Mus musculus: one gene and its partners. The protein of the gene in region 5 binds, or shares a complex with, the protein of the main gene of each other region. Links are inferred from orthologs where the notes say so. Each region holds a gene or a part of one and is shown on either strand. Other genes may lie near its edges.

Evidence for each region.
Region 1: Immt (region 5) and Apool share a complex: the UniProt entries of both Homo sapiens proteins name them as parts of the mitochondrial contact site and cristae organizing system (MICOS) complex. The link is inferred for Mus musculus from reciprocal best matches to the Homo sapiens genes IMMT and APOOL.
Region 2: Immt (region 5) and Micos13 share a complex: the UniProt entries of both Homo sapiens proteins name them as parts of the mitochondrial contact site and cristae organizing system (MICOS) complex. The link is inferred for Mus musculus from reciprocal best matches to the Homo sapiens genes IMMT and MICOS13.
Region 3: Immt (region 5) and Chchd6 share a complex: the UniProt entries of both Homo sapiens proteins name them as parts of the mitochondrial contact site and cristae organizing system (MICOS) complex. The link is inferred for Mus musculus from reciprocal best matches to the Homo sapiens genes IMMT and CHCHD6.
Region 4: Immt (region 5) and Chchd3 share a complex: the UniProt entries of both Homo sapiens proteins name them as parts of the mitochondrial contact site and cristae organizing system (MICOS) complex. The link is inferred for Mus musculus from reciprocal best matches to the Homo sapiens genes IMMT and CHCHD3.
Region 6: Immt (region 5) and Apoo share a complex: the UniProt entries of both Homo sapiens proteins name them as parts of the mitochondrial contact site and cristae organizing system (MICOS) complex. The link is inferred for Mus musculus from reciprocal best matches to the Homo sapiens genes IMMT and APOO.

What each region holds. Positions count from the first base shown.
Region 1 is NC_000086.7:112,309,198-112,314,659, forward strand, and holds the start of Apool (MICOS complex subunit Mic27 isoform 1 precursor), read left to right. Parts: upstream 1-2,154; 5' UTR 2,155-2,224; coding exon 2,225-2,239; intron 2,240-5,462. UniProt on the Homo sapiens protein: Component of the MICOS complex, a large protein complex of the mitochondrial inner membrane that plays crucial roles in the maintenance of crista junctions, inner membrane architecture, and formation of contact sites to the outer membrane.
Region 2 is NC_000083.6:56,606,104-56,611,433, forward strand, and holds Micos13 (MICOS complex subunit MIC13 precursor), read right to left. Parts: upstream 3,669-5,330; 5' UTR 3,566-3,668; coding exon 3,537-3,565; intron 2,921-3,536; coding exon 2,743-2,920; intron 2,590-2,742; coding exon 2,535-2,589; intron 1,739-2,534; coding exon 1,641-1,738; 3' UTR 1,349-1,640; downstream 1-1,348. Other genes in the region: Safb (scaffold attachment factor B1), read left to right, coding at 1-2. UniProt on the Homo sapiens protein: Component of the MICOS complex, a large protein complex of the mitochondrial inner membrane that plays crucial roles in the maintenance of crista junctions, inner membrane architecture, and formation of contact sites to the outer membrane.
Region 3 is NC_000072.6:89,564,226-89,568,901, reverse strand, and holds part of Chchd6 (MICOS complex subunit Mic25), read left to right. Parts: intron 1-1,170; coding exon 1,171-1,315; intron 1,316-4,676. UniProt on the Homo sapiens protein: Component of the MICOS complex, a large protein complex of the mitochondrial inner membrane that plays crucial roles in the maintenance of crista junctions, inner membrane architecture, and formation of contact sites to the outer membrane.
Region 4 is NC_000072.6:32,801,263-32,805,938, forward strand, and holds part of Chchd3 (MICOS complex subunit Mic19), read right to left. Parts: intron 2,764-4,676; coding exon 2,628-2,763; intron 1-2,627. UniProt on the Homo sapiens protein: Component of the MICOS complex, a large protein complex of the mitochondrial inner membrane that plays crucial roles in the maintenance of crista junctions, inner membrane architecture, and formation of contact sites to the outer membrane.
Region 5 is NC_000072.6:71,861,939-71,866,614, reverse strand, and holds part of Immt (MICOS complex subunit Mic60), read right to left. Parts: intron 4,271-4,676; coding exon 4,135-4,270; intron 3,475-4,134; coding exon 3,345-3,474; intron 1-3,344. UniProt on the Homo sapiens protein: Component of the MICOS complex, a large protein complex of the mitochondrial inner membrane that plays crucial roles in the maintenance of crista junctions, inner membrane architecture, and formation of contact sites to the outer membrane.
Region 6 is NC_000086.7:94,379,770-94,384,445, reverse strand, and holds part of Apoo (MICOS complex subunit Mic26 isoform 1 precursor), read right to left. Parts: intron 4,521-4,676; coding exon 4,413-4,520; intron 2,336-4,412; coding exon 2,216-2,335; intron 1-2,215. UniProt on the Homo sapiens protein: Component of the MICOS complex, a large protein complex of the mitochondrial inner membrane that plays crucial roles in the maintenance of crista junctions, inner membrane architecture, and formation of contact sites to the outer membrane.

The DNA of each region.
Region 1 (5,462 bases), on a different chromosome or scaffold from region 5:
TGGTCTTGAGGAACCCGGGATAGAAGATGGTCAGAGCCCTCCCTGGAGGCCACCTCTCCTCTGGCAGGGAAAGTGCATAGAGGTCTGGAGCTCAGATCTGCTTCCTGGGTGAAGATGAAGGCCCAGAAAGAGCCCTGTTCCAGAAGCTATGTTGCATCTGCAGCCCACAGGCTCTCCTGCCCAGACTCCTCACTCATTTTTTTAAAAAAGAAAATAAAATCCGAAGTTGTTACCAACTGTGATAAAAAAATTAAAATTAAAATGATCAATTATGGAAACCTTTAATAACTTAATAATTGATTCTAAAGAAGCAGAGACATGGATCCTACCTTAATTCCTGAAGTTTTGAGCAAAAAGAATTTCTCTCTTCTATATATGCTTATTCACAGTTATCCCAAATTGCATCTTTACTGTTAATTGTGAAAATTTTATTAGTATTAAAATTATTGACAAGTGCATGTCAATTAACAATGAACAAATAGAATCACTTAAAACCTCCTCAAAGCACCTGTTGAATATTCACAAATATTAGATTTCGATAATGTAATTAAAAATGTTAAACCTCAAAACCAGAAACTGAAATTGTATAAATAGCTTTATTCTTATCAGGAAAATAAATTCATGAAAAATTTAAATATTTTTCACTATTTTATTTATAGTTTATATAATAGAATTTACTTGATTTAATATTATATTTCATATCGATATTTTATTAGAAACATGTATGCTGTACTTTAAGTGTAAAAAAATATTAAAAACTTTTAGTCTTTTATTCATGACCATTGTTATTTATTTAATAACTTAATAATATATTTCATTATATATTCATTAAAAATGAACCTGCCTTAAGTATCAAATATGTTTAGTATACCACTAATGCTTAGTATATAGTTTACACTTAAATATTTATTAAATGAATAAGTGAATGCAGTTACCTAATACTGTGAAGTTAATGGGAACATAAATGGACACTCTTTGTCTCCGAATTATTCACAGAGGCCTCAGGGAGCCTGTACCCTTACAGAGAATAATATACCTCCTCACAATCTAGTCTCCTGGGAACATCATAATCATCATTTTATAATGTATTTTAGATCAAGTCACACCAATGCTAAAAGCCTTCCAATTACATTTCTTTTTATTCTTTTTTAATTAGGAATTTCCATATAATATATTCTGATCACAGTTTTCCCTCCCTCATGTCCTCCCAGATTCTGCCACCTCTGACCCCGACTCCATGCCTTCATCTTTGGAATACAAACAGGCAACTAAAAAAAAAAAGGATAAAACAAAACAAAAGCAAACAATCCACACTAGTTATAGTGACACAGAGAGCCCCTGTTGTGGTATGTTTGTTTTTTCATTGTTGGGACCTACCACTCTCTGTTCCTGATATTACTTTTGCATAGACCACTTGCCTATATTCCTCATGACTTTCTTCAAATCACCCTATCAGCGCCTTCTATCTGTATGAACTAGAAAACTCCATTCCTTCTCAACAGATAGCTTCTACTTTTACACTTTTAATACATTTTATTTACTCTCTCTCTCTCTCTCTCTCTCTCTCTCTCTCTCTCTGTGTGTGTGTGTGTGTGTGTGTGTGTGTGTGTGTGTGTGTGAAATTTAGGCCATCCGGCTTGTCAGCCAGTAAGTACTTCTTACAAGCTGAACCGTCTTGTCAAGGTTCTGTTTTCTTGAATAGTGTTGAGGCCTTTCTAAAATTTTTTTGTCATTTTCTCTTGGTGCTGTATGTAGGTTTTGTAGTGTACTGTGAGCAACTTCCTGACAGAATTGGTGTTTAGTGACAGTTCTAGAATGAATGTAATTGAATTGCCTCAAGGATTGCAGTGGTGACCTGCTCTTGTGACAGACTATATGGTTGTTTATTAAGGCAGTTGAGTTTTAAGTTCTTATCTAGACAAATCCCGTAAACACCCAGTCATTCACCCAAGAAAACAATTTCTAATTGGAGTGTGGAGACTATTCTTAGAGGTTAGATGTATGAGGACTGGAATGTCAACCGCAAAGATAGGCCCTTTGCTCTGAAGAAGTGCTAACCAATTGACTTTGGCGCCTACAAAAGCAATGGCAGGAGGGCGGGGAAAGGGCAGGGCCAGCGGGCTCCTAGCGTAAAGGGGCGGGGCTATGGTGACGCAAGGCAAAGTGAACTGCTTTGTCCCTCTGCGCTCTCCGTCTGAAAACTTGAGCCGAGAGGGTCATAGGTATGGCGGCCTTTAGGGTAAGTGAAAAGAAACTTAGTTTTCCACTCCCCGCTCGCTCTGAGCCCAAGCATTACAATAATTATAGAAGGGACCGTCTATCGTAACTCATGGAGGGAGCCCCTCAGCAAGTGGCGACCTGGAGATGAGACTATGAGGATCGGAGTCTTTAATCTTTGCAGTCTCAACAAACCTCCCTCGCCTTCTCCTTAATCCCTGCGGGTAACTGTTTACACCGCGGGGCTTTAGTCCCGCAACCCGCTGAGTGAGTGATGAGGAAGGCCTGGCCACTCGCCTCTCTGGAGAAGGAAAACAAAACAAAAGGAAACAAAACAAAACAAAAGTTTGGCGCTGTCTTGGTGTGCAGGGCGGGGCTCCCAGACCGGGACATAAGACTTCCTTCAAAAATTAGCTGTGGGCAAAACAGACAAAAGTAGAGATTTCTCAGAATCTGTGTTGTGAGTGGGATTATACATAGTGTTATTCCCCGTCGAATAACCAGTTTCTTTGGAGTTTTATGAGAAAAGGTGCTTTTGTGTAGAAATCGGGGGTAAAGGAAACAAGTCAGCCGACTCGGGTTTCAACATCAGTTTACAAATACTTAACGCATGTATTTTTTTTTAAAGGTATGTAATGACTCTGTTAGGCTTGAAGGCTATAAGATTGTTATTAATTCAATCAGAGGACATTGACTTTTAATATTTCCCATTCTTCACTGCATTTCTCTAGTTTGGGACCTCATACTTTCTTTCAAACTACGGACCATTCTCTTAACTGGACTCTACCCACTCCATTGCTCTGATGGAATCCATTTTCTCCTGTGCTGCCATAGTACTTATATCAAAATGAGACTCTGCCCTGCTACTTTAAAGCCTTTATAGGCACTCCATTATCAGCTCTCAGGGGTCAGGTTACCCTTCTAGATAACAACACTTCACCTAGCCTCTGCACTCCAGCTTCCTCTCCTGTCACCCAAGAACCCTCTCCTGTGTACTTAACTTCCTACTTTATCTCTTCATGCCCCATTTACCTGCTCTTTCTGCAATTCCTAAAGTGCCCTTGCCCATTCTTATTTAATTTCTAGCATGCACGTCTGACCAACCTTTTGATAATGCAACCCCACCTGACCTCTACAAAGTTTATCCTGGAGAATCACAATCAAGTTACCAAAAAAAAAAAAAAAAAAAAAGCCCCAAATAATATTTTTACAATGTTTAAATAGTTTACAATTTTGTATTGGGTAGGGTGTGGTGTGTAGGCCATTGGTAGGAGATGCTTGCTTCTTTTGGTAAACACAGAATGGCTCTTCTAAGTGTGTGTCCTTGACAACTGTACTGATCCACATGAGAAAGTTTTTGATTAATTAATTAAAACTTTTAAGTCCTTTCTTGGTGGCCAAATCACGAGCAGGGCTGTGGTTCTGAAAAGTTTCTTGGTCCCCAAGTTCAGAAATACACAGTTTTGAAATCAAAACCCAGAAAGATGCATCAAAGTTAGATGAAGGTCAGAGTAGCCATGAAACATTTATCCCTGGTAGAACATAGTAGTTACTTTAGATATAACTTGCCAATTATTTTGGCTAATACATCTGGCCAATGGTCAAAGCTGTGGAAGTCTCACATGTGTTGCCAAGGCATATGTGACCACTGGGGGAATCAGATAAAGGGCTGAGAATTATTTAATCGAACATAAAATGGAGTCAGAAGAGGATGGTGTCACCTTAGTCATTTCATTTCCCAATTTTTATTTTAAAGTTATTGTTAAATTTTTGATCTTGACCAAGTGATAAATACTAGTTCCTGAGTATCATTAGCCTAACTGAGGAAATTTTCTATCTGATGAACTTTAAAAGACCATTTATTATATAAGGCTCTATAGCAAGTCTCATAATAAGGGGGAGTAAGGGACCAGGCAAAACAATGAAAAGTATTGTGAGCCATGGGTTTTAATAGTTTTCTGGTACCAGAAATTATTTCATTCATGTTTTTGATTTAAAATAATTTTTGTAAAGTTTTTTTTTTCTTAAATGATAATGTTTGATTTGTTAGTACAGAAGCAACAAGTCTCCCTTACTGTCACACAACCTCTCCTGGTTTGGAGAACTGTTTCTGTCAGAGACTCTATCTGACCATGGCATGTGTTAAAGGAGAATCTGAAGGTGCCTGGTGTCTATCTGCTTGACAAATTATCTGTTGTAGGCTCTCTCTTTTTTCTGATTAGAGCCATAGTGTACACGGCTACTGCCTATCTATCATCATTGGAAAACTGAAAGGGGTAGCCCCCTGTACGTCTGGTTGGCATATATTTCCAATTGTGCTCATGGCGGAGGATACAACTCGAGACAGTGGCTGCTCAAGTGCTATTAGCAAGGTGAGATGCATGGTCTAGGCGATTTCTCCAAATAATTGTTTAGATTTCCTAAGGAAACTGACTTTAGGGCTAAAGTTTATTCCAGATTCCCGATTCTGGGCCACCCTTGATGAAGTGTTGTCACTTCTGGTTTTGATCCCAGGTCAGTTCTCAAACCACCCCAACCCAGCATCTTAGAATTTGCTTATTGACCTCCGAAAGGCTTATTACCTTAAGCTGCTGTCTTCTGTATATCCTGGTATCCATTGTACTTTCACCAGCTGTTTGAAGATTAAATATTTTGCAGTTTTAATGCCAAGTCCTGGCTCTGAGTTGCTTCTACAGCAGCTCCTGCAAACTATCAGTTGTGCCCAGGAGCACCAACAGCAATCATGAGAGCTGTCCATCCAGAAGGTCAGCACAAACCAGAGTCCAATATTGGTCTAAGTCACCGGAGCTCCAGAGTCGTTGTGAGTTGAGGCGTTGGCCACAAGCTGAAAGATGTCTGTCTCTTGGTTATCCCCTCAGCCTTGGTGGTCTGTGGTGGTTTGGTGCCCCATAGCGCTGGACTGTGGACTGTGGTACTCTGTGGTAATCCCACTCTGCTGCTTTTGGAGATGTTGTAGCACACAGTGTTAGTCAGCTACTGTGCAGTAGAAGGAAATTGGAGGCTTCTCTAGCAGTGACATTTGGCTAAGACATGGATCTTTTGCTCCTTTCCTTTTGCTAAGAAAAAGTCCCTCTGTGGAAACCCCTTGTCAGCTGTCATATGTTGTCTTTCTCACATCATCCTTCAAGCAGGAAACTAGAAATTTGAATGTAGATGTTTTTGTAGAGAATTCCCTTTCAAGTATAAAATAGTTATCATGGATTAACCAAAGCTGTTCTAGTTAC
Region 2 (5,330 bases), on a different chromosome or scaffold from region 5:
GAGCACCTAAGCCACCCAACCGTGACCTTCAAGTCCTATCAGGACTTCCCTCCCACCATTGTACAAAGGAATTTTTTTTTTATCTGCTGCCATATTGTAGCTTGTTACGATGTGAATTTGTTTTCATTTTTGTTCGTGTTTTGTTTTGTTTTGTTTTTGTAATAAAGGTGTTTCTGTTTAAGTGCCCTTTACTTCAGACTTTCAACCTCTCATTTCCATGAGGAAAGTGGCACTCTACCATCAGCCAGAGGTGATGCCTATTCAATTCTGTGTGACACAAGTGAGCTCAGGCTTGGGGCCAGCTATGCTCCTTACTGTGTCTGACATAGCATACCTGCTACTGGTATTGAGGTTCGAATTGCTGAGAGTGGTCCTGGAGGGGGCCACAGACAAGTATAGGGCAGAAGTGCAGGGCCTACATAGGACTCTGGGTCACAGGCAGAGGTAGCCCCTGGTTTTAGTTTTAAGACATGTCACCAGCTTTTCTGGACTTAGTGTGATCCCATAAGCTCAATGCTATATGCCTTCACAGACCAGGGTGAGCCTGACAGTCCTGTGTCCATCCAGCCACCCAGCCTCTGGGAACACCGTTAAGAGTAATGGGCTGTTTCCTAAAGTGGCTTATATCCTGTTGGATGTGGTCACATAACAATCTGCAGAACTCCATGTGGCAGAGGCTAGGCCTGGAGTCCTCACACCTTGGCCACTGTTCTCCATGACTCCAGCCCCTTCTGGGCATGGCTGCCAGTCACAGACTTCTGATATACTAATAGAGACTTTCAGGACTCAGACAGCTGGTGCAGCATGGGACAGGAATGCTGGGGCAGGGTCCCTAGGAAAAGGGACCTTCAGGGGGCAAGGCTGGGAGTCCTGAGTGGCTGTGACTAGTTTGGGCAATGGGGCTGTCAAAAAGAACTGGTCCACTGCAAGTGAAGCCCCTATTAAGGGCCCCAAGTCCAGGCTCCCCGCACCACAGTACCTACTCCATTGTACAGGCTGGAAGAATGGTTCCATGGCTAGTTCAGATCCTAGCACCCATGATGGAGAGCTCACAACAGACAGTGCCAGTGTGTATATACAAGCACACCCACACAAGCACTAAGTTAAGAAAATGCCTCCGTCAGATTGGACTGTGGGACACTTTCTTGATTGATGACTATGGGTAGGTGGTCCTGGGTGTTATTAGAAAGCAGGCTGAGCAAACCATGGAGAACAAGCCTATAAACTAATTTTCCATGGCCTCTACTTCAGTCCTGCCTCCAGATTCCTGCCCTAACTTCCCTTAGTGATGGAGAATGACCTGAGAGTAACAAGCTGAAATAAACCCTTTCCTATCCAAGCTACTTCTGGTCATGGTTTTTATCACACAAAATTTTTAAAAGTTAAAACAAAAAACTAAAACTAAAATCTTTCTGGGCTCCAAACATTACATCTGGAACATAGAGATCCCTGTTAGCCAGGACTCTGCCCATAAAGCAAAGGCTCTACATCCCCCCCCCACCAGAAAACCGGCTGGGGACCATTCCCAAGTCCTTTATTGGGCCAGCAATGCTGGAAGCTGCCCTCAGAGTGAGGTCCCCACTGGGATGTCTCTGCCATCCTGGTCTTGACCCCCATAATGCTGGGGCAGGTGGCATCCATTACTTGCTGTGTTCCTTGAGGTACTCCCAGCCCTCCTTGGAGTATTCTCGGGCCTTGGAGGGGGCCACCGACAAGGCTGACATGACTGAGATGATGCCTGCAGAGACAGCACACAGGTGCCATAAGGTCCCCACCTTGCCAGAGCCACTCAGCCAGCCAACCCCTGGGGAGTGCAAGAGCAGTACATGGAGGAGGAATGGGACTAGCCTTTCCTGATGGACAAGTTCCAGTGTGGATCTAAACCACAACCCCTTCCCTATGCTCTGTTTTAAAAGGTTTCATCTCACTAATATATTCCAAGGTTATCCTCAAACTCTCAGTCCTTCTGCCTCAGCTCTTCCCAGTGCTGAGATTATAGGTGTGTATAACAATATCCAGCTTTTCTTTGTGGAGACAAGGTCTCATATATCCCATATGGCCTGGAATTCCCTATGTAGTCAAAGATGACCCTGAAATCCTTCATTCTCTTGCCTGCACTGAGTGCTGAGATGACAGACCTACAAACACCATGCCTGATTTATGGGGTGCTGACGACAGGACCCAGAGCTTTATGCATGCTAGGAAAGATCTTTACCACTGATCTACAACCCCAACCCCTTAGGGTTTTTTTAAGTATTTTGTTTTTCCTATTTTTGAGAAAGGATGTCCCTGTGTAGTCCTGGCTATAGATCAAGCTGGCCTTGAAACTACAATTTTCCTGCCTCGGCCTCCCAAATACTAAAGTCACAATCATGGGCCACCATACCCAGTCCTTTCTACTTAGTTCCATAGGTGATATACAGGCACACAAACAGGAAAACATGGAGGAGTAGAAAGGGTCAATGAGGTAAACAGGGCTGGGAGAGAGGCTGGGGTGCCCAGGCATCCCCCCAAGCAGGGGCATAGGGGCCTACCTGAGTTCCAGGAATCACGGAAGTTTGGAAATTTAATCTTTGGAGGGGTTGGGAGCTGGGAAGAAAGAGGAACACGGGCTGACACGGGAAACAGGTCACAGCCTTGTCTCCCAAACCCAGAAACACAAAACTCCACCAAGCAGGGGTGGAGGAGGCCCCAAGGACACCCAGAAGCAACCTGTAGGCCACCCACTCCCAGCCAAGGTACCTGTGGCATCTCCAGACCTGTCTGCTGGCACACATATTGGCTGAACTGGTACATTGCTGGTGGCACAACCTCCTCGGCCTTCCGCAGGGCAGCCTCACTCTTGTCACTAGGCCCCAGCAGCTCCTGGTCATAAACAAGGTAGACTGCTCCTCCAGCCACACTTCCCTTAATGAGGAACCTTCAGGAATACATGAAGGGAGACGCTGTGGGGGGCAGGATCTCAGAGATCAGACAGTTGATCATTTTTTGTTGTTGTTGTTTTGTTTTTCGAGACAGGGTTTCTGTGTAGCCCTGGCTGTCCTGGAACTCACTCTGTAGACCTGGCTGGCCTCGAACTCAGAAATCCGACTGCCTCTGCCTCCTAAGTGCTGGGATTAAAGGCGTGTGCCACCACTCCCGGCCAGTTGATCATTTCATTTGCCTTTGTGACACGACTTTTAGCAGTAAACGGAGTCTTAAAGAGAGACAGGGTGGGTCATTCGAAACCCTGCAAAGGATAATGGACACTCAAGATCCCTGGTACAAAACCTTCCAGGGTGTCTGGCGGAGCTTCCCCGCAAGTTACTCAAGTCAGCTACGGAGGGAGATGGGCAGGATTGCCTACGCATCTGAATTGCACCTAAGAGTAAATTGAAGCAGTAGGGTGATAAGGGCTGGCTGAAGCCAGTTTCCCTACACAGACCGTGAGAAAGGTCCGTAACAACCGGAAGTGAGCCGTCGCAGGACCCTAAGCCACGAGGCAGAGATGCCTACAGCCCCGAACTTTCTCAGGGCCTCCACGATTGTCCACGCACCTCATTAGCGACCACACTCGAGCCACCATGGTTAGTCTCTCGCTTCACTCGCCGCGCAAGGACAAGTAATTCGCCCGCCGCTTCCGGTTGGTGTCGCTGCTGAGACTCCTGGGAAATGTAGTGGTCGCTGTCAGCCGCAATGGAGTTAGACTCTTGTAGGTCGAGGTCCGTGGCTGCCGCAATTCTTTCTGGGAAATGTATTAGTTAGGCGGAAGACCAAAGAAGGGCTAGGCCGCGAAGGCTCCTGGGAAATGTAGTCTGGAGGCACGACAGAGACGAGCCCTCGGAAGACACTGGTCGGATTCCCCGCGCCCGCGCGGAGAATTGAGTGTCCCCCAGGTGAAGCAAGCCTAAGTGATGGTTACCACGGCAACGCGAGGGCTGGATTGTTCCAGAGAAGCAGGCCTTTGGTTCACGTGAGCGGTTAGGGGTGTGGCTCTAACCTAGGAAGCTTGGAGAGGCTACAGATGGCCTGTGAGATGGACGCTTGCCAAGGTTGTTGACTTGCCAAGGCCAAGGCGCTGGAGGATCCCTGCCGGGTAGAAGTCTTGGGGTCATGTGAGAACGGGTTGGCGGTGGGTGGTCCGGAGTACAAGGAGCCACACTGGGGTGCGAAGTGCCGCAGGAGGGGTTAGCGGCCAAGTGGACATCATGTAGATCCCTGTTCGGTTGCAAGGTGAGCTTGAGCAGATGTGCACCATGGATGCATGGATGCCTTGTAATTGTCTATGGAGACCTATTGTCCTAATTACTTCTCAGTTGTCCTGACAAAGCACCATGGCCAAGGCAACTCAATAGAAGGAAAAGTTTTCTGCTTCCAGTTTCAGAGGACCATGACCATCGTAACGCGGAGCATGACAGCAGGCAAACCGGGATGGCGCTGGAGCAGCAGCTGAGAGCTTACATTGTGGCTCATAAGCTGAAAGAGACTACAGGGTATTGTGTGGGCTTTTGAAACCTTAAAGTCCACACCACTGTCACCCCTGCCCCAAGAAAACTTATCTCCTAATCCTTGCCAAACAGTTCTACCAAATGGGGACCAAGCATTCAAATACATGAAACTGTAGGGGTCATTCCGATTCAACCATACACAAGACCCCCCCCACACACAACTTTATTTCTTTATTACTTATTTTTGTGTTGGGTTTGGTTTGGTTTGCCTTTGGTTGGTTATTGTTTGCTTGCTTGTTTTGAGGCAAGGTTTGTCTAACAGTCCTGGCTGTCCTGGAACTCACTTTGTGGCCCAGGCTGGCCTCGAACTCACAGCTCTGCCTGCATCTGCCTCTTAAGTGTTGGTATTAAAGTGTGTTCCACCATCACCCAGCTTTGTGGGTTTTTTTCTTTTTTAGACGGGGTCTTATTCTTTGTACGTGATTGGTCTGGAACTCATATGGACCAAAGCTGAATTCTCCTGCCTGGGCCTCCTCATTCCTGCTTTTACAGACATGTCCAGTGTCTATGGTGACATTTTCTCCTTTTCACCCAGAACTAAAATAAACCAACCCTCATGACTAAGAATGGGTGAGAGGAGCCTAGAACATGGCAAGGTAGCATGTGGCATTGCCAGTAGCGCTTAGACAGTGTATCTTTGGACCTAAGATTTGAAAGAAGTAAGTTTTAGGGAAGAGCGTCCAAGCAAGAACTCAGCCAGTGCACAGGCCCAGGACCTGGGACAAAGCTGAGCAGACTGGGCAGTTTGGACTGGCTCCTGGAGGACCCTTTAAGGGGCCCAGGGCTTTGTTTTCCCCCCACTCCCAGAATGACCAGAGTGAGTGGTCTGAGGAAGAAGGAAGG
Region 3 (4,676 bases), about 18 Mb from region 5:
AGTTGTTACCTAGAGAAATCACTGCAGGGGACGGTGTTCTTAATGGGGGCATAGTCAGGGGTAAGTACAGTGCCTGCCCTCTGTGCTCTTTATGCATGGGCTTCCTCATTGTCTTTGAGGAAACGGCCTCTGTATGGTCCCAAGGCCCAGTTTGCTGGGGGGTTTGCCCTCCAGCATGACAACCCTAGGTAAAGACTCATGGTCTCAAACGTTACCCTCCTGTATCCCAGTGGTATCTCCAGGAATGTACAACCTCCACATTCCCTTCAGTAACTTTTAGCAATTTTAAAGTAATACATGCTGATAAAAGATTTTTTAAAACTACATAAAATAAAAACAAATCCCCATAGACTCATTATCTCAGTGCAACTGCTGTGGCTCTTCTGGGTGTCTCTTGCACACAATGTCTTTACCTTAACTTGTTTATATTAACGACCTAGGCATTTTCATATCTTGCTGCTTTACTTTCTATTATAATTACTTTCCATCAGTTACACCTGCTTTCAAGCACGTTTATTGCTAATCAGATAGTTTGTTCATTCTCAGTTTTTAGATTCAACTTGTTACATATAAATTCAAGTTAGCACTGAAGCTGTGGTATAGCTTTTCATGATGCTGTGGCCTTTTCTCTACCATGACCTTGCTGCTTGCTGCTTGTGCTATTTTACTTCTATGAACAACACAGAGGGCATCTTAGTCCTCCTAGCTTTTATCTGCTGTGATACACTAGCAGAATGCCAGGATAGGTCAAAGGTTACGATTGTACTCCAGACAAAGTTAGATGTTTAAACCTCAAAAGTGCTGCTGTCTAAAACCTTCAGGCTCTCAGCCAAACAAGAATGCCATACCCCACCCTGCCTACTTGTTTGAAAGGATGGCTCACATGGGATTCAACCCTGCCAGAACACTCATTCTTTGCCTTTGGCTAGCTCTCCTGTTCCTGATCTGAGTTGTCCTAAATGTCATTGTCCCTTGTCTAGGGGGCTGTCACTGAAGCTTCCACTCAGGTGAAAGAATTGGCTTATGGTTTCCTATTCTGTTCTGGGCAGCCAAGGGCCAGAAACCCCACCCCTGCTTAGACAGGTACAGTGAGCAGGCAGGTCTTTTCCTACCCATGTTCTTCTAGCCATGCCTTCTGCATCAGCTTCTCTCTGTTTCTCTCTGGCCTAGGTTCCAACAGGAGCAGTTGGCAGTCCAGGATGAGATGGTCAGGGTGGCAAAAAAGGAAAAAGAGGCAGCTGAGAAGCACTTGAAGGCATCCCTGCCCAAGAAGAAGGCCAGCCTCACCCATGAGCAACAGCAGTCAGCTCGACTAGTGAGTGTGTCTTTCAGAGCTGGCCTGTCTGCCAGTGTGTGCAGGAATGGGCAGCAGCTGGCTACATCAGCTGTGGCTTTGAGGTGTTTTCCAGGCACTGGCAATTTGGAGTCTTCGGACTCTTGACTAAGTGGTTTGCTTTGCCACCTTGTCAGAGTCCATTCTTGTGGCTTCAGGCCTCTAGAGCCATGGGGGATTGAGAGTCTCATTTGTCATAGCTATCACTGGTGTAAGGGCTGCAGTGCTGTGTGTGTTGGGAGGGTATAGGGTGGGGTTTGGGGGCATGCAGTGTATGATACCAAGAGCATCATTTTCACAGCAAGGCAGCCCAGGTGCAAAGCCTAGCCCTTTGCTTACAGCTTCAGCACATTGAGCCTTGTTGGAAGATCATGATGCTCGCACACAGGATTGCCCCAGGGGTCAGAGATAATAGCTACCCAGGGCTTAGCAGGAGCTGGGAAACAATGAAGGAGTGCTATGACTGCCGCTGCTGTTATTAATGCATCTAATTGATCAGAGCTGTTAGTCAGGATTCTTCAGCTTTAATGCAGAGTTTATTTTACAAGTGAGGTGTCTAGGAGCACCCGGTGGGCCAGTTCAGCAGCTGCTGGCATCATCAGGGATTCGGCACTCCTCCTCCTCACTGTTTCCCCAGTCAACCAGCCACACTCAGGATGACTGTTGCTACAGTTGCTACCTCATGATTACAACAGAAGAGCAGCAGAAGAGAATCTGTGCCAGCCTGTCTGTGTCAGCAAGGACAGGTTTCCCGGCAGCACTGGTCTTCCATTCCATTGGTCTGAATTGTACTGGGCACCCAGGGCTAACATTCAAACACAGAGGGACTAAGGAGACTGTGCTATCTGCAACTAGGATCCTTTCATTGCCACGATTGAGAAGTGGACAGACAGACCCAGGCTGATGGCAAGTGGGGTAGTCTGGCTGTTGGTAGTATCTAATGACAATTGAGTTGGAGACTATGGGTTTCAGACTAGGGGCAGCTTTGCCTCAGTTATTAGGTCAGCAGCCTATGCACACAGAAGACTGCAGAAATTGGGGTGAGATTGTAACTCTGGGATGAGATAAGCTAACAGACCTAATAGTCACACAGCTGTGGGAAGCATACAGTGGGTGAAATGCTCTGGAAGGTATAAGCCCTTAGCTCCTGGCTCTCAGGACTGGGGAGAAGATAGAAGTTTGAAAGAGGCAAGTTGGTTCAAGTCCAGTGTTAAGTGGCAGAGAGGAGTTATTTGGGATTGTTGTGACCTGCTGGTAGGCAGAAATGACATTGACCTTTTCCCTGGAAGATGGGTAGCCACTGGGACTAGGAAGCAGTTAAGACAAATGGTAGGATACAGGATGGAGACAGTCAAAGCTTGAGGTCAGATTATGGAAGGCTTTGGGTGACCTGATGAGCTAACAACAAAGCAACCCTCAATACCTCTAAAACAGTAGAGACATTCTAATAGTTATAAGGATGGGAATGGGCTGTCTGACTTGTGCTTTTACAACAGAATCTGAGCAGTTTTTAGAACAGTTTCCCGAAGAAGAGGGTGTCTGCAGAGAGGCAGGCAGCCTGACAGCCAGTAATACAGAAGATCACTTTACAGAGATATAAGGTTAATCATGGACTGAGCAAGGCAGGTGTCGTTTACTTGGGACAGTTGTAGAGCAGAGCATGCCGCCCGCTTCATTCTCACCTGAAGGTGATAATTACAGTGAAGGGAGTTGACAGCCTCTCTTCCCTCCACCTGCAAAGGAGAAGAGGCCTTCCCTCCTGCCTTTGCTTTCTGGCTGTCTCTAGGGGAAATGTGGGAAGGACTGGGTGCTCCTGGGTGCAGGTGTTGGATTTTTGTGTGCTTGGTAATTAATTGCTACCTTAGAATGAAGCAAATGTGCCCTACCAGCTTTCTCCCAGCTTCCTAGATGGATGCCCTCTGCAAACTATTTCCAGGGAATAGTAGAGCAAGTCCCTTCAAGCTGAAAATATTTTATCTACTTTTGTAAGCACTTCTACTTTTGGCTGCTCAACATGTTTTTCTCCTTATGACTAGAGTTCAGATCTTCTTTCAGGAGCTTTCCTGTCTCCTGTGGTTTCGGTCTCAGTAAGATTCTAATTTCAGTGCCTCTGTGGAAGCTAGATCTGGGCATATGTTCCAAGTTCAGCGAGGGATAGATAGCCAGCCCCTTCCTAGGGACTTTAGTCTGAACTGAGTACAGAGGGAGAGTGGGAGGCCAGGGTGGCAGTTATTTATTGTAGCCTAGGTGGGCTGTGAGGCCCCTTATACTGTTAGGCTATGTCTTTTGCTCTCTTCTACCCCTCTAGGGTACACTTGTTTTCTCTCTGGTCCTCCTGCCATCTTGAAGATCATGTCATTTGCTGAGAGCTATCAGTTCACTGTTTATTGAGTTTGCTGGAGTTGGTTTCTGTAGGCAGTGCTGCAGCAGGTGCACCTCTTATACGAGGACCTGTGGCAAGTGAATCATGGAACTGTCTAGAAGAGATGCTGTAGTAGCTGGTTCTGGAGACCTGCGGCCACCTGTAGGAGAAGGGAACTAAGGCCCCTTTTTGTGTCAGCAGTTAAAGTGGTGGGCAGGTGCTGTTGCCATCAGTGCAAAGGAAGCAGCTTGCTATGGATGGGTAGGGTTGGCAAGTGCTTTCAGTGGAGAGAGTTTTAACTATGGCACATTTAAATGAGAGGAAAAAACATTTAAATGAGAAGAAAAAAGATGGAGAAAAAAACTTGAACTAAGTATGGAGATTTTTTTCCCCTCATGCATGCCTTCTATGCCTCCTGTGTACAAGTGCTGAAAGGCTAGGGATTGATTGGCAGCCTTCAAGGCAGAGCTCTGGTGGCCTGGTAGTCTGGAAATGTGTGTGGATCTGAGGCACACCTAGTGACTGCTGGAGTGAATTGGCTCCCAAGCCTCCTTTGTGCCTCTGTGACTCAGTGTCCCTAAGTCCCACACCCTTGGGTCTGTTGCCCTGTCTGGACTTAATGAGAGGCATCAGGTATTTGATGCGGTCTTCTGCCCTCTCTGTTTCTCTCTCAGTTTTATAGTATTGATTTTTCATCCTCTTCTGCATGAGGGAATGATTGAGTTCATTATTGGGAAAAGTTTCATAAAACTAATGAGAAGGAAAGGTAATACGTTTTATAACTTGATTCTGCTGACAAGTGTTAACATTTCCCATCTAATGCAGCAGTAATGAGCAGTTAGTTCTGTGTGCCACACCTGCTCCTGCCCTTGCAGCTGGGTTCAGACCCAGCTCTATTGTGAATGAAGGCCATGAGTGTTGGTGAGGCCTATGTGAGCTGAGACTTCCCTTGGTGTTTGCAGAGGAAGTCTGGAATTCAAG
Region 4 (4,676 bases), about 39 Mb from region 5:
GATGATGGATGTCTCTTCTCACCTGCTCAAAAAAACAAAGATCACTTAACCTATTCTTAAAATTTTGTTTTGATAGCAGGGTGCATCTTGAACTAGTTGTTAAATTTACCATCATGACTTCCCTAGGTGTCAACGCTCTGGGCTGCACATTGATGAAAGAAACCATTTCTATTTTCATCTCAGGTTGTCATAAAACAAGTAAGAGAGTGGGTGTGAGGTGACCTTGAAATCCTAAGGCTTAAGGAGATGAAAGGGTCAATGCTTCATGGTTCTCGGTATCTTAGTGTTGTCCAATTTATGGCAAGACTCTAATCTTTTTGACATTACTTGGTTTCCATTCACTTCCACATAACTTAACCTAGAGTTGTGAAGTGTTAGACACTCTGAACAGACTAGCTGTGAGTAAGGAGAGCCACAGCAGGCTGGAAACTGAGTGGGTCTCTTTGAATTACCAGTTTAATTTCATAGCTTTCCTAAATGATGATCCTGAATTCGGGAAAAACAAAGGCGTACTTAATACTGGAATCATCACATCATGACCCAATTCACTAATAAGAGAAACCAAGGCTCAAGGCCAGAGACCTAAAAGATAGGGCTTGGTTCCAAACCCAGGCCTGCCAGATTCTCCCCTCTACAGTACCATGTGTCATATGTGACCTTGTTGCAATAATCGCTTTTCTTTTATTCCATAAACAGGACACCACAGCACTAAATGTGATTCAACATGACCTCACCAGGCAGAGTGGCCGGAGCCAATGCTCCAAGACCTTCAGTGTTGCCACTTCATCGACAGCAGAAAGCACACTGGAAATAAGACACTTTGTGTCAGACACCACTCCAGAAACACGCACGGTGACACAATCACCTTTCTATCAATGACGCAGTCCAACTCCACAAGTCTTTATTATCACATTAGAAAAATCCACGAGTCAGTCTACAAGTCCCAAGGGCTCAGGTGGTTGCTGTTGAAGGCTGCAGGCTTGCTAAGAGCTCATCAGAGGATTCTGTGACAAACAACACACACTACCCTAACATCAGTAGCTTTACCTCTAGCAAGACCTTTAAAGAACCCTGGCAGATACTCAGCTATACAAGTGTGGCTGCAAGCAAGGGATGAGGCGTGTCAAGAAAACACAGGTTTTTAATCTTGATTACATTTTTTCTACTTAATGTTACTGTTATTTCCAAGATACCCAGACAATAGTACCCTCCCTTCAGATATTTATGCAGTACTGGAGATTTACACTAAGTGGTATTATTATAACAGGAGCAAACTGGGCTGTGGAAAGGCATGCTGTATAACTCAACTGCTAGATTGAGATGGGCGAGGTCAACTCTAGGGAGTTCATCAGCAGAAAGAACTGAGTTTCCAACAACTTGTGTCTCTTCAAATCCCATGTACCCAACTGTAAAGTAATTGTGTGACCTGTTGAGACTGTTAATTTGTTGTTGGGATATCATTAGCTTTCTAAAGCACATAAATTAGAGAAAATATGCATCTTATGAGTGTCATATTATGCAGTCATAAAGGGTCAAGTGAAGCATGCAGAAGGAGGAAAGCCTTTCCTAAGTATGACTCAGGTTCTTTCTCCAGCTTAAATAATAGCCTCTACTAACTGGTGGAGGAATGGTTAGTGTACTGGCTAGTTTTGTGTCAACTTGACACAGCTGGGGTTATCACAGAGAAAGGAGCTTCAGTTGAGGAAATGCCTCCATGAGATCCAGCTGTAAGACATTTTCTCAATTAGTGATCAAGGGGGAAAGGCCCCTTGTGGGTGGGACCATCTCTGGGCTGGTAGTCTTGGGTTCTATAAGAGAGCAGGCTGAGCAAGCCAGGGGAGGCAAGCCAGTAAAGAACATCCCTCCATGGCCTCTGCATCGGCTCCTGCTTTCTGACCTGCTTGAGTTCCAGTCCTGACTTCCTTGTTGATGAACAGCAGTATGGAAGTGTAAGCCGAATAAACCCTTTCCTCCCCAACTTGCTTCTTGGTCATGATGTTTGTGCAGGAATAGAAACCCTGACTAAGACAGTAACAGATGAGTAGATTTCTCTTAATCCTGTGAGACCTCCTACTACTTACGAACTCCTAGTGTGCTTGCTTCTTAGTTTATAGCCTTCATCCATAGTTTGGACAGTGCTGTTTAGGGATGTGAGGTAATGACCATGAGGATAAGACCACTGGGACCATTAGAAAGTGAAAGGTTTAGAGCAATTAAGCATATTTTTAAATATATTTCTGCTCCTGCACATAAATCCAAGGAGAGTTCAGGAGAGCTTGAACCCAGGGCCTTGAGCATGTTAGGCAAGCACCCTACCACTGAGTTGCACATCCATTCCTACTTTTACTTTGAGACACGGTCTCATGACATTGTCCAGATTGTCCTTGAACTCGCTCTGTAGCTGCCCCTGAACTTGAAGTTGCCCTGCCCAGTCTTTTCAGCAGCTGGGATCACGGGCCTAAGCCACTAGGCCTACCTAGAATCTGGACTCTTCTGACAGTGAACTGGATAGAGCTTATGGCCAAAACATGATTTAAGAGATTCTAGATGAGTTGAGAAAGTTTCCCACCCACTGGGATGACTGGGCTTTCTACTTTTCAGGTGCCCCAGTCAGCTTGCACACCCACCTGTTTGGCATGGTTGACACAGTGCATGTATTGGCTAGCCAGAGCAGAGCAGCTGAGAGTCTGCTGGGTGTTCTGACGGTAACACTGGAGGATTTTGGTCTGCAGATCTGCACAGACTGGATGATATTCATACCGCCTGGAAACAAAAAATGAGGATAATTGAGACAAGGCATCCCCATTAATGGTCAAGGTTAAAAGTTATGTAAAACATAAGCCGAGGTCCTACAAATAACACCAGTGCTCTTTTTCTACAGCCTGGTCTGGCAAGTCAGAAATCTGCCAGTCCCAACTTCTTCTGGCATACCCATGGCCAGCAGGCCATGAAGATCTGGTCCTTGCAGTCTAATCTTCCATACTCACCATTATTACAAAAATTCAAAATACTTCCTAGATCCAAGCAATGACCTCTGGTCTGTGTGTCTATAGTCCCAGCCCTCTCCCTGCATCTACAGGTCATCTAGAGAGTTCCTTGTAAATCCATCGATTCAAGTCAGACTCTCTATATTGCTATAAAGTACAAGGGTAGCAGAGATATGATCAGGCTCCTGCCTGCCTTTAGCCCTTGTTGGACCCTGAATATTGCTGCAGCCTGAGTAAATCATACTTAGGGGCCAGTTACGGATCTCACATCTGTGGTCACAAGCTAGAAAATACTTGGCACCCAAATTCCCACCCTTCCCATGTAACTGAAAATCACTACACATCTTTCAAAGCGTAGCTCATATAACCTTCTTTGAACAACTCTCCCTGGTTTTCTCCTCCTTTAAGGTGACCCTGTGCTAGCATTTTGCGCTGCCCATGTCATGGACTATGCAATAATCTAGTGCAATTCACCTGCCTACATTTATTAGAATGTAAATTCCAAGGAATTATGTCTTGTTTTGTGACCTTTACTATTCACCGTGGATAATTTTTATAGAAGTCATACAATAAGCTTCTTGAATGGGGGAAAAAAAAGGGCAAACATCTAAAAATCTTCCAGGTTAAACTTCTGCAGTTGTATTTACAACGCTCAGATTTTAGTAGAATTTCTCTCCATGAGAATGGCATGCCAAACATAAATGTTTCCACACAATTTATAATACACATTTGAAAATAATAAGTCAAATAAATTACACACAGAAAATATTCTTGTTTGTATGGCAGCAGAACTCAAGGTACAAAGACTAACCACAGAGAGAGGAAATATGCAAAACAATCATTAATATATGAATTTGTATATTTAAAAAAATTAGTTTGTTTAATAAAAAAATGCTTCCAATCTTATCAGTTCTGTCTCTGAAATTTAAATTTGGTATTTCCATATAGTCCTGAGGTAGCATTATTTTAAGTTTAATGGGTTCTAAAAACAAAAGCCTCAGAGAACATGGGGGAATATTTCCCATCAATAAGCAGACCCTTGGGTGACAGTTTGTCTCCTCATTACTTAACCCAACACGATAAACTAATATATATTTTGCTGGAGTGGAAATGCAAACCACATGACTGTCCCTGGGGCAATCTTCCCACTACCCCAGAAAGAAAGCAGACATACAGAGAAAAAGATTGATTCTACACAACACTGTTTCTACTTTTTCATTCATTATTTTACTTCTTTGTCTAATACCTGAGAGCAGAATTTAAATCCAATGCCAGGGGTTTCAATTCTTTTAAGCCTTTGACGCTCTGGATGTCTGTGGATTTTTCTGGACCTGAGCTTCCCTAATCCCCAATAAATGAACATCAGCTTCAAAAAGGAGTCAGCTATGCTTTCAGAAACACAGCCCCAGAAAACCACTGACCAACAGACGACAGCAAGACTCGTGTCTGGGTAAATGTTGAATAAAATATGATTAAGCATGAGTGCAGCTGAATGCAACAAATCCATGGCTGATACTGCTAATGATTCACACAGGAGAGCTGAGCTATTGAGCTTCTGTCCCAGTGCCGATAGCTGACCAAGTCTCTATCACATCTAGGTCTAGATAGAGGCAGAGGAAAGGTAGAGGGGAGACAAAAGCAGGCCTAAGCAGACCCAAGGTCTTCCTTTACTAGTAACATGCAGGCAGC
Region 5 (4,676 bases):
TGTTTAGTTCCTATATTTACAGAGTCAGAGACAGCAGTTCTTTTTCTTTTTCTTTTTTTATTTTGGTTTTTCGAGACAGGGTTTCTCTGTGTAGCCCTGGCTATCCTGGAACTCACTTTGTAGACCAGGCTGGCCTCGAACTCAGAAATCCGCCTGCCTCTGCCTCCCGAGTGCTGGGATTAAAGGCGTGCACCACCAGGCTCAGCTAGAGACAGCATTTCTAAGGGAAGTTAAATATTCCAAGAGGAGAATCACCAACAACAAGGACTGCTCTAGTTAGAAGGGGTCTGTCACTGTCTCATCTGCACATCAACTAAAAACTTTACTAGGAGACACAATTCTTTGATTACTGTCAACTGAACTAATTTACAGAATATTTCTCCATCCTAGTACTAGTTTCCAGTGGCAGGCTACTTCCAACTGTCAAATACTTCTAGAATTAACATTTTTCTTTAGAGGCAATTTTGGAACAAAGTCTTTTCAGATTCTGTTACCTTTCTGTTATTTTTTCTCCTGAAAGCTGGGAGTGTATCACAGTAAGCTTCTTAAATAAGCACTACAGTGAACTTAATATTAAATTTACATTTAACCTGTGTAAAATTAAATCAAAAACTCTGACTGTTGAAGTTTAAATGATATTCCTTATCATGATTACAAACCCCAACGAACCCGTGACAAGAGAGTAGACAGCTGCCAACCTCAGTGACTTGCCTCTGTTTTCCCCCCTGGCAATTCTGGAGGTAGAACATAAGCTATGTCTCCAATCAAATTTTACTTTTTAATTCTGAAACAGATCTACACTGTAGCCCAGAAATTTGCAATCCTCTTGCCTCAGCATCCTCAAACACATGGGTGTATAGGCCTGTACAGGCAGATCTGTCTTTAGTATGAAGCTTGTTAAGAACCTCTTGGTTTAGGGAGCTAGAGAGATGGCTCAGCGGTTAAGAGCACCGACTGTTCTTCTGAAGGTCCTGAGTTCAAATCCCAGCAACCAAATGGTGGCTCACAACCATCCGTAACGGGATCTGGCGCCCTCTTCTGGAGTGTCTGAAGACATCTACAGTGTACTTACATATAATAAATAAATCTTTAAAAAAGAAAAAAGGACCTCTTGGGTTAAATTCAAGGAATTTTTCATTAAAAGAATCTGCTTCTATGTCAAAGGAAAAACAAAGTTGAGACAATGTAAAAGATCATTAACAGGGCACATAAACATAATAGTATGTGCTATAGTACATAAGCAACAAAGGAGACATGCTTTGGGTTATCAGTCCACAGCACTTTTCAAAAATACTGTTTACTTTTATGTATAATATATGTGTGCCTGCACAAGTTTATAAGCACTATGTGCATGCAAGAGCCTGTAGGAGCCAGAAGAGGGCACTAGATCCCCTGAAACTGGAGTTGCTCACAACAGCTACTCTGTGAGTACTAGGAACCAAACCTTGGTCCTCAGAAAGACAGTAAGTATTCTTAAGTACTGAACTATCTCTCTAGACCCCAAGCTCACTTTTATACTTGATATAAAGATATATCCTTAAATAACTGTTTAGTTTATAGGTTCTTAAACTTCACAATAGCACCAACCTATTCTGTATTTTTAAATAATTTTTAAAAAAGGATTACATATATTTATTTATTTGGATTGGGTATACCATGGCAACTGTGTGGAGGTCAGAGAACAATTTTTGAGAATCTGTTCTCTCCTTCCTCCATGTGGGTCCTGAGGATAGAACACAGGTCACCAGTTTTGGCAGCAGGTATCCATACCACCAAGTCTTCTCTTTGGAGAGAGACAATACCAGGTCACTTGCACTGATACACATAAGGCACATTTGACTATTTCAAAGTTTATTTTCTTTTTTGTTTGTTGGTGCTGGGGACTGAACTCAGGGCTTGTACATACTAGCCAAGTGCTCGACAATGAGCAAGACCCTCTAGCCTAATCCTCTTGCCACTTTTCTCCCTTTTTTTTTTTTTTTTTTTGAGTCAAGGTCTTACTACATAGCTGTCCTGGAGCTTGATTGAGATATAGACCAAGCTGGCTTCAAGCTCACAGAGATCCACACCTCTTCTGCCTCACAAATGGTAGGATTAAAGGCATGTGCTACTAGACCAGGCTCTTTTTACCTTTTTTTAATGCTGAGGCTCCAACTCAGGGCCTCTTGCATGCTAGATACTCTTTGAGCACTAAATTACGCCTCTACGCTCAAATTCTGTGCTCTTACTACAATAATGCCTTAATGTACATTGGGAGTTTCCTTAAGCAAATACACAGGAGCTGAAATGCTGGGTTAGGAGGATACACATCTCCAAACCAATTGCTAAACAAGTGGCCCCTGGTATCTTCCTACTCTTATCAATGTTCTGGGTATACACACTAGACGGCTCTGTCACTTCACCCTCAGGTGACTGTAGCATCTTAACTTTACGCTTCTGAGACAAGATTTCAGTATGTAACCCTAAGCTGTTTTAGAACTCACTATGTGGACCAGACTAGATTCAACCCAGGCTGGATCCTCCTGCTTGCTGCCTCCCAAGGACTCAGACTAAAGGTCTACACAATCATGCCTGGCTCTATAACCACCTTTTAACCAACTTCTCTGCCCTTAGGCATCATACCACTACTTTTATTCAATTTCATAATCTCACAAGAATGGGTTTTCCAGCTAGTGTGGGCACAGCAGTGAATGCCTGTAATCCCCAGTACTTGGGAGGCTGAAACAGAACAGTGATGAACTTGAGAACAACTGGAAGAACTGGGGTCACTAACAGAATTCTCAAGTGTGCCTTCACTAATCCATTCCAAAGATTTTTAAATACTAAATGATTTGAATAAGTATATAAACATACGTATCTTAACAGAGTTAATGTTAAGACATCACTTTAAATCACTCGAACTCAGCCAGGCGTGGTGGCACACGCCTTTAATCCTAGCACTTGGGAGGCAGAAGCAGGTGGATTTCTGAGTTCGAAGGCCAGCCTGGTCTACAGAGTGAGTTCCAGGACAGCCAGGGCTATACAGAGAAACCTTGTCTCGAAAAACCAAAATAAATAAATAAATAAAAATAAAAATCACTCAGACTCCACTTTTAATTTTTGAGTAGCAAATCAGAATCAAATCATGAATCATAGAATTAAGCACTAGAGGAACTTCTGCTCACCATGATTAGAACTTCAGGAATAATGTATTCTACCTGCTGTGTGTGACAGAGAGAAAATAACACCTATGCACTGATTGGGACATAGAAGCACTGGGATTTAAAGACTGGAGTTGAAGCAGGTTTAGATTAGTTGATTAGATGCTAAAATACAGAAAGAAAATGGCAATCAGTTGTACTTACTCATCCCTTTCCATCCAGGAGTGATGTCTGGAGTGATACTGTCCAGCTCTTTTCTAAAGTCATCTCTTGCTTGGACCACAAGTTCATGATACTGAGATACCACCTTTGCCTCTGACTGAGCAGCCTGGACCTAAGCAGATACAAGGGGTCTCTGGCTAAATGGAACAAAAGACACCATCTACACTCTTAAGAAACCAGTCTAGCTGGGGGTTACAAGCAATACACAGAACCTGAAGATCAGAAAATACAAACTAACTTGTCTTTTTAATACAACTTGTTTTGTGAAAGCGTGTTATACCTGTGTTTGTGTGTGTGTGTTCATACAGCACAGTATGTGAGTAGACATCAGGGGACATCTTGAGAGAATCAGTTCTCTCCTTTCAATAACTGAGCCCCTAAAATCCAATTCAGATCATCATACTTAGAGGCAAGTGCCCTTATGCTGCTACCAGCCATCTGACACAAATTTTAAAAGTAGTTAAAAATGAAACTTTTAAGACGTATTTATTTATGTATATGAGTGTTCTATTTGCATGTATGCCTGCATGACAGAAGAAGGCATCACAGTCTATTACAGATGGCTGTGAACTGCCATGTGGTTGCTGGGAACTGAACTCAGGGCCTCTTCAGTGCTCTTAGTGCTGATCCTTCTCCCCAGCCCCATACTTTATAATGAACACTCTACAATAAAAACTTAAAAGAGATAGTAAGAGTCATTTTCCTGAATTCTTAAAAATGCTTTAACAGATACTTTAAACTATAAAACATTACAAAGACTAAAGAAACATACCTTTTTGACGACGTTATCCAGATCAACTATCATGTTGTGAAGTCTCCCCTCTGCAGCAGTTATATGAGGGGTGGCTCCAGCAATCTCTCTTTTCTTTGCATCTTCAATTATAGTTTTCATCTTCTCTAACTCTTCTCTGTGGAGAAAAAGAAAAAAATATAAAGGCTCCTTATAATTGTAACTACCTTTATTAAAGAGTTTTGAAGTGAGTGTAACACATGAATATCCTCAGGTCATGGAACATGAGCCAATTCGGGCTTCGGAACAAGAGACCTCTGTCGGTTTCTATGTCCGAACTTAGCTGTGTTTTCTGTCAGCTTGACCCAAGCTAGAGTTATCTAGGAACAAACCTCCACTGAGAACATTCTCTCATCTGATAGGCCTGCAGTCAAGCCTGGGAAGCATTGTCCTGATTGAGGAAGGAAGGAAGGAAGGAAGGAAGGAAGGAAGGAAGGAAGGAAGGAAGGAAGGAAGGAAGGAAGGAAGGAAGGAGAGGGAAAGGACAGGAAAGGAAAAAGGAAAAAAAGAAAGAAAGAAAGAAA
Region 6 (4,676 bases), on a different chromosome or scaffold from region 5:
GGGGGCTGTCTCTGACTCTTTTCCCTGCCTTTGGGACCCTTCTCTCCTTATCCAGCCTTGATATGAGAGAAAGTACCTAATCTTATTCTAATTTGTTATGCCATACTCAGTTGCTATCCCTGGGAGGCCTGTCCTTTTCCGAAGAGAAACAGAGGAGGCATGGATAGGCGGTGGGAAGGGGTGGTGAGGAGAGGAGGGTGAGGAACTGCAGTCAGATTGTAGTATATGAGAGAATCTATAAACATTTTTTAAAAGAGAAGGCTTGTGGTGGAATCATGAAGCTTAGTGTTCAGACGCCTTTTTTTCTCTGAGACAGCATCTCCTTATATATTCAGGCAGGCTGCAACCATGCAGCTTCAATACCTTTAGTGCTGGGGTCACAGGCATATGCCACCACGACCAGCTGACAAAAATACTGTCTTACAGAACAAGCAGGCTGGGGTGCAGCTCACTGGTAAGGTGTGTCTAGTAGAATGTGCTTAGACCATTGATAGAGTTAATATGCTTTTTTCCTTCCTCAATTGGTAAACAGAAAAAAGTTCAACAACAGCATAATTAATGAAATTTAAATTTTTACAAAAAGTCTTGGATGAAAATTGAATTTGCAGATCTTAATTAAAATAAACCTGGATCCTCTTATATACATTAACATATTATTTTCCTTCCTTTTCCTTCCTTTTCAAAATCATGAGCAAGTACAGTGAATATGTACTAAAGCCTACAAAAGCATTCTATAGACTGCAAAATTTGGTTTCAGATATTTAAAATCAGAATACTTTCGGTTGCTTAACAACAAGTGTCTGGAACCTAAAACATGCACGATGACAGAAGTCAAGCTGTACCTGTAGTAGTCACTGGAGTGGAAAGTTCAATACTCAAACATGTAATTCTACCCTACTACGTATGGCATCTACTTTCCTATTACAGTACCCAAATACTCTATAGTCATGCCTGGGATTTTTGGTTGGTTGGTTTTGCTTGCTGTGTTTCTCTATATAGCCTAAGTGTCTTGGAACTATGTACACCAGGTCAGCAGAGGCCTCCAGAGTGCTGGGATTAAAGGTATGCCCCACCACACCTAGGTAGTCTCACCTGCATGCGTATCCATGATCTGAAATGTATAGGAACACATGTTTGTTAGGTTTCAGAGGGCTTGGGGTTTTGGTTTTGGTTTTTTGGTTTGTTTTTGGTTTTTGGTTTTTGTTTTTTTGTATTTTTAGCATGGATGTCCCTAGTATGAAAATCCAAATCCAAAATACTCTCAAATCAGTGATGCTCAGACTGTAGAGATGTGTAGTTTTTAGAGGGAGAGAAAAATCTCATTTTTCTGTATGTGTGTCCATGATAAGCATGTACAGGTATGTGTTATATACAGGTGTGTGGTGCCTGTGTGTGACAGCAAGTTTGGGTGCAGATATTCACCTTTGGGTGTCATTTCTCAGGAGCCATACTGTTTATTAAGATGGAATCTCTCACAAAGACCTGGGTCTTGCTGATCAGGCTAAGCTAGGCGAGTGAACTCCAAAAATCTACCAATCTCTGCTACCCCAATGCTGCAAGTCTATGCCAAGATGCATACCTTTTTTGGGTGCTAAGGACTAAACGCAGGTCCTCACGGAACAACTGAGTTATCGCCCCAGCAATAACAGCACAATTTTGATATACATGCTTATGTTTTATTCATTTCCTCCCATTGGTGTCACATGTTTACCCTGATATACACAATGGCTTTTTAATACCAACCAACAAGGTAAGGTAATTCTTAGCCCTCTGCTCTCTGGGCAATGTGCCACAGCTCTTCTGATGAGAGCTAACTTCCCCTCACTGCTGCAGAGTGCCAGGCTTGATTGCACTTGCTCTCCGGGTAGCATTAAGGGACATTTAGAAATTAGGCAGGCTTATCTTTGGATCCTTATTACACCTTTTTCTAAAAACATGAACTCAGGGCTGGGCATGATGGCTTACATCTGTTAACTCCAGCACCTGTGCTAGTCAATGAAGCAGGAAGATTGTCAGTCAGTCTGAGGACAGTCTGGGCTATGTAGTGAATTCCATGCCAACTCTACAGAGTGAGGTCCTACGAAGGAAGCGAGAGAGAAGCGAAGGAGAGAGGGGGAAGGGAGGAAAGAAGGGAGAAAGGAAAGAAACAAACAATAAAAAATGAAAAATTACAGCCAATATAGAATTTCCATTATTAACTCTTAAGTAGATGTACCTGACAGAAACTTGTATATGGCTCACAATGATGTCGGAGTTGTGAGATGTTTTCTTCAAGTTGAGTCCTTGGCTCCTCCACATATTTAGATTGACCCTCAGGAACTGAGTAGAGTGAAAGCTACACATATTAAAACAAAAAGAAAAGCATATACCATGAGATCATGTAACATAGGAGCAGTTTTGTAGGTTAATACGTCTATAATAATTTATAAATTACAGTTACCCTAAGGGCTGCAACCTCTAACTTTACTTCAGATGGCCTTTGTACCTTACTTCCTCAATAAAGACAAAGACAAGAGGGCAGGACTGCAAGGCGCTCTGTCTTCTCCCTACCTACTCTACCATTTTGTCTTGGTAGTGTGGGGTATTAAACCTATGCAAGGCAAGCCCTCTATCAGTCTACAGGAGTGATATTTTACCTTAAACTTAAAGTGGAAAAAATTCTGCTATTCTAATGAGTGAAAGGAGGAGTTTGGTGGGGGGTTACATTTTCGGGGAGGGTATGTGTCATGGTGCACATGTGGCAGTCTGAGGACAACTTACAAGAGTCAGTTTTCTCCTGCCATATGGGTCCTAGGGATCAAACTAAGTCATCAGGCTTGGCAGCAAGTGCCTTTATCCACTGAGCCATTTTACCAGCTCATAGGTTTTGTTTTGCATTTGGTTGGTGGTGGTGAGGTTTTTTTAAGAAAAAAAAAGGCTGAGAGAACTGAAGAATAACTGGTTATATGGCAAATATCAGGCTGCTACTGATCAAAGCAGGTGAGCAAACTCATTGCCCACCTAGAAAAGAGCCTTCTCAGTAGCCACCATTAGCCACCTCTTCCCCGTTAACAGTACTAAGGCCTGAGAGGAGAGGAAAGAGAAGCTAACTAACTAGCTTTATAGAACACTATTCAAGTAATCTCGCCTGGCCACCAGGGACTTCAGTACATCCCTTTATTCCAAGGTAACAGACATGGACCAAAGTAGAAATTCCAAATAGTTACTGGGAAATACAGACAATAAAGAATATAAACAATGCAGAGAAGATATCTTATTTATTTCGTTGATCTAGTATGTACTAAATATTTAGTTAAGCATCTCTAATTTTGCCAAGAACCAGAAAGAATCTAAGCCTTTAAATTCTTTGAAAGAAAAAAAAGTGAATATTTTGGATCAGCAGTCCAGAATCAGGCAGGCCACGCCAAAAAGTGAGTTGTACAGAGACCCACAACTGGACAATGTATAAAGAGTGAGAGCTTTTGGAACAGTCAACCCTAAATGGGATGTCTTCACCAAACCCCTCCCCTCAGGGCTAAGGGGGCTACACAGAAGAGGAGCACTGTAAGACCCAGAGAGAGTGGAGGACTCCAAGAAAATCGTGTCCTCCAGACCCAACAGGACTGAAGCACATATGAACTCAGCATACACAGGGCCTGTATGGGTTTAAGCTAGACAGAGCCTCAGTGCTCAGAAAAGGAATTAGACACAGGCTCCTGTCCCTAATCAAGATGCTATCTCCAAATGACATCCTCTTGCAAAGGAAAAACTAGTTCTCACCAATGAAGTCTCACTGAGTGTATTAAACACACTTAGGAGCAGGCCTCGTGCCCAGCAGTAGGTGGTCAATACAAACGTACTCAATGGTAATTCTGTAGACTTTCTGTCTCATACTGATTGCTTTGGTTTTTTTGTCTTACTAATCTTCTGTTTGTATATTATGTTTTCAGATTTTGTTTTGAGAGAGACAGACACACACACACACACACACACACAGTGTTTCTCATGGTTTTTCTTTTTCTTATGGTTTGGGATTTTTCTTTGCCTATTTGTTTTCTAGAGAGATACAGACAGAAGTATGGAATTGGGGAGACAGAAAGGATCTGGGAGGAGTTGGGGGAAGGAAAATCATGATCAGAATATATTGCATAAAAATAATAGAAAATAAGTACTTACTAGGAAAAGTGATTTGTGCTTTCTAGCAATTTCCCACGGAGAAAACAAACTATCAGAAAATGTATAGGTAGGTCTTCTTTTTAAATATTTTCTAAGTGTGCCAAGGAAATACATTACTATTCAGTATCTCAAAGAGTAAAAAAAATAAAACTACAAGTCTTATCATCTTGATATATAATTTATAAAAACTCTCCCTAACTAAGTCAGATGTTTATAGTGTACCATTTAGTATCTTCATCACCTCATGAGATCATTACCTCATCGATCTTCATGTAACTTTTGTGAGGCGAGTCCTTTTTGGGTGCTGCATAGACTCTGAAGGTGAGCAGGCTCAGGCTGGCTGGCCCCACAGATCTCTGAATTACCTGGAATACGAAGGTAGTTGTCAATCTTTTCTCCATTCGACAAATCAGGTACATACTATATAAGCAGGCCCATAACCTCAGCCACTCACAGGAAGAAAAGCTTACTTTGAAGTAAATGCATTTTTGAAATTCTGGGGATATCAAAACATAAGCATG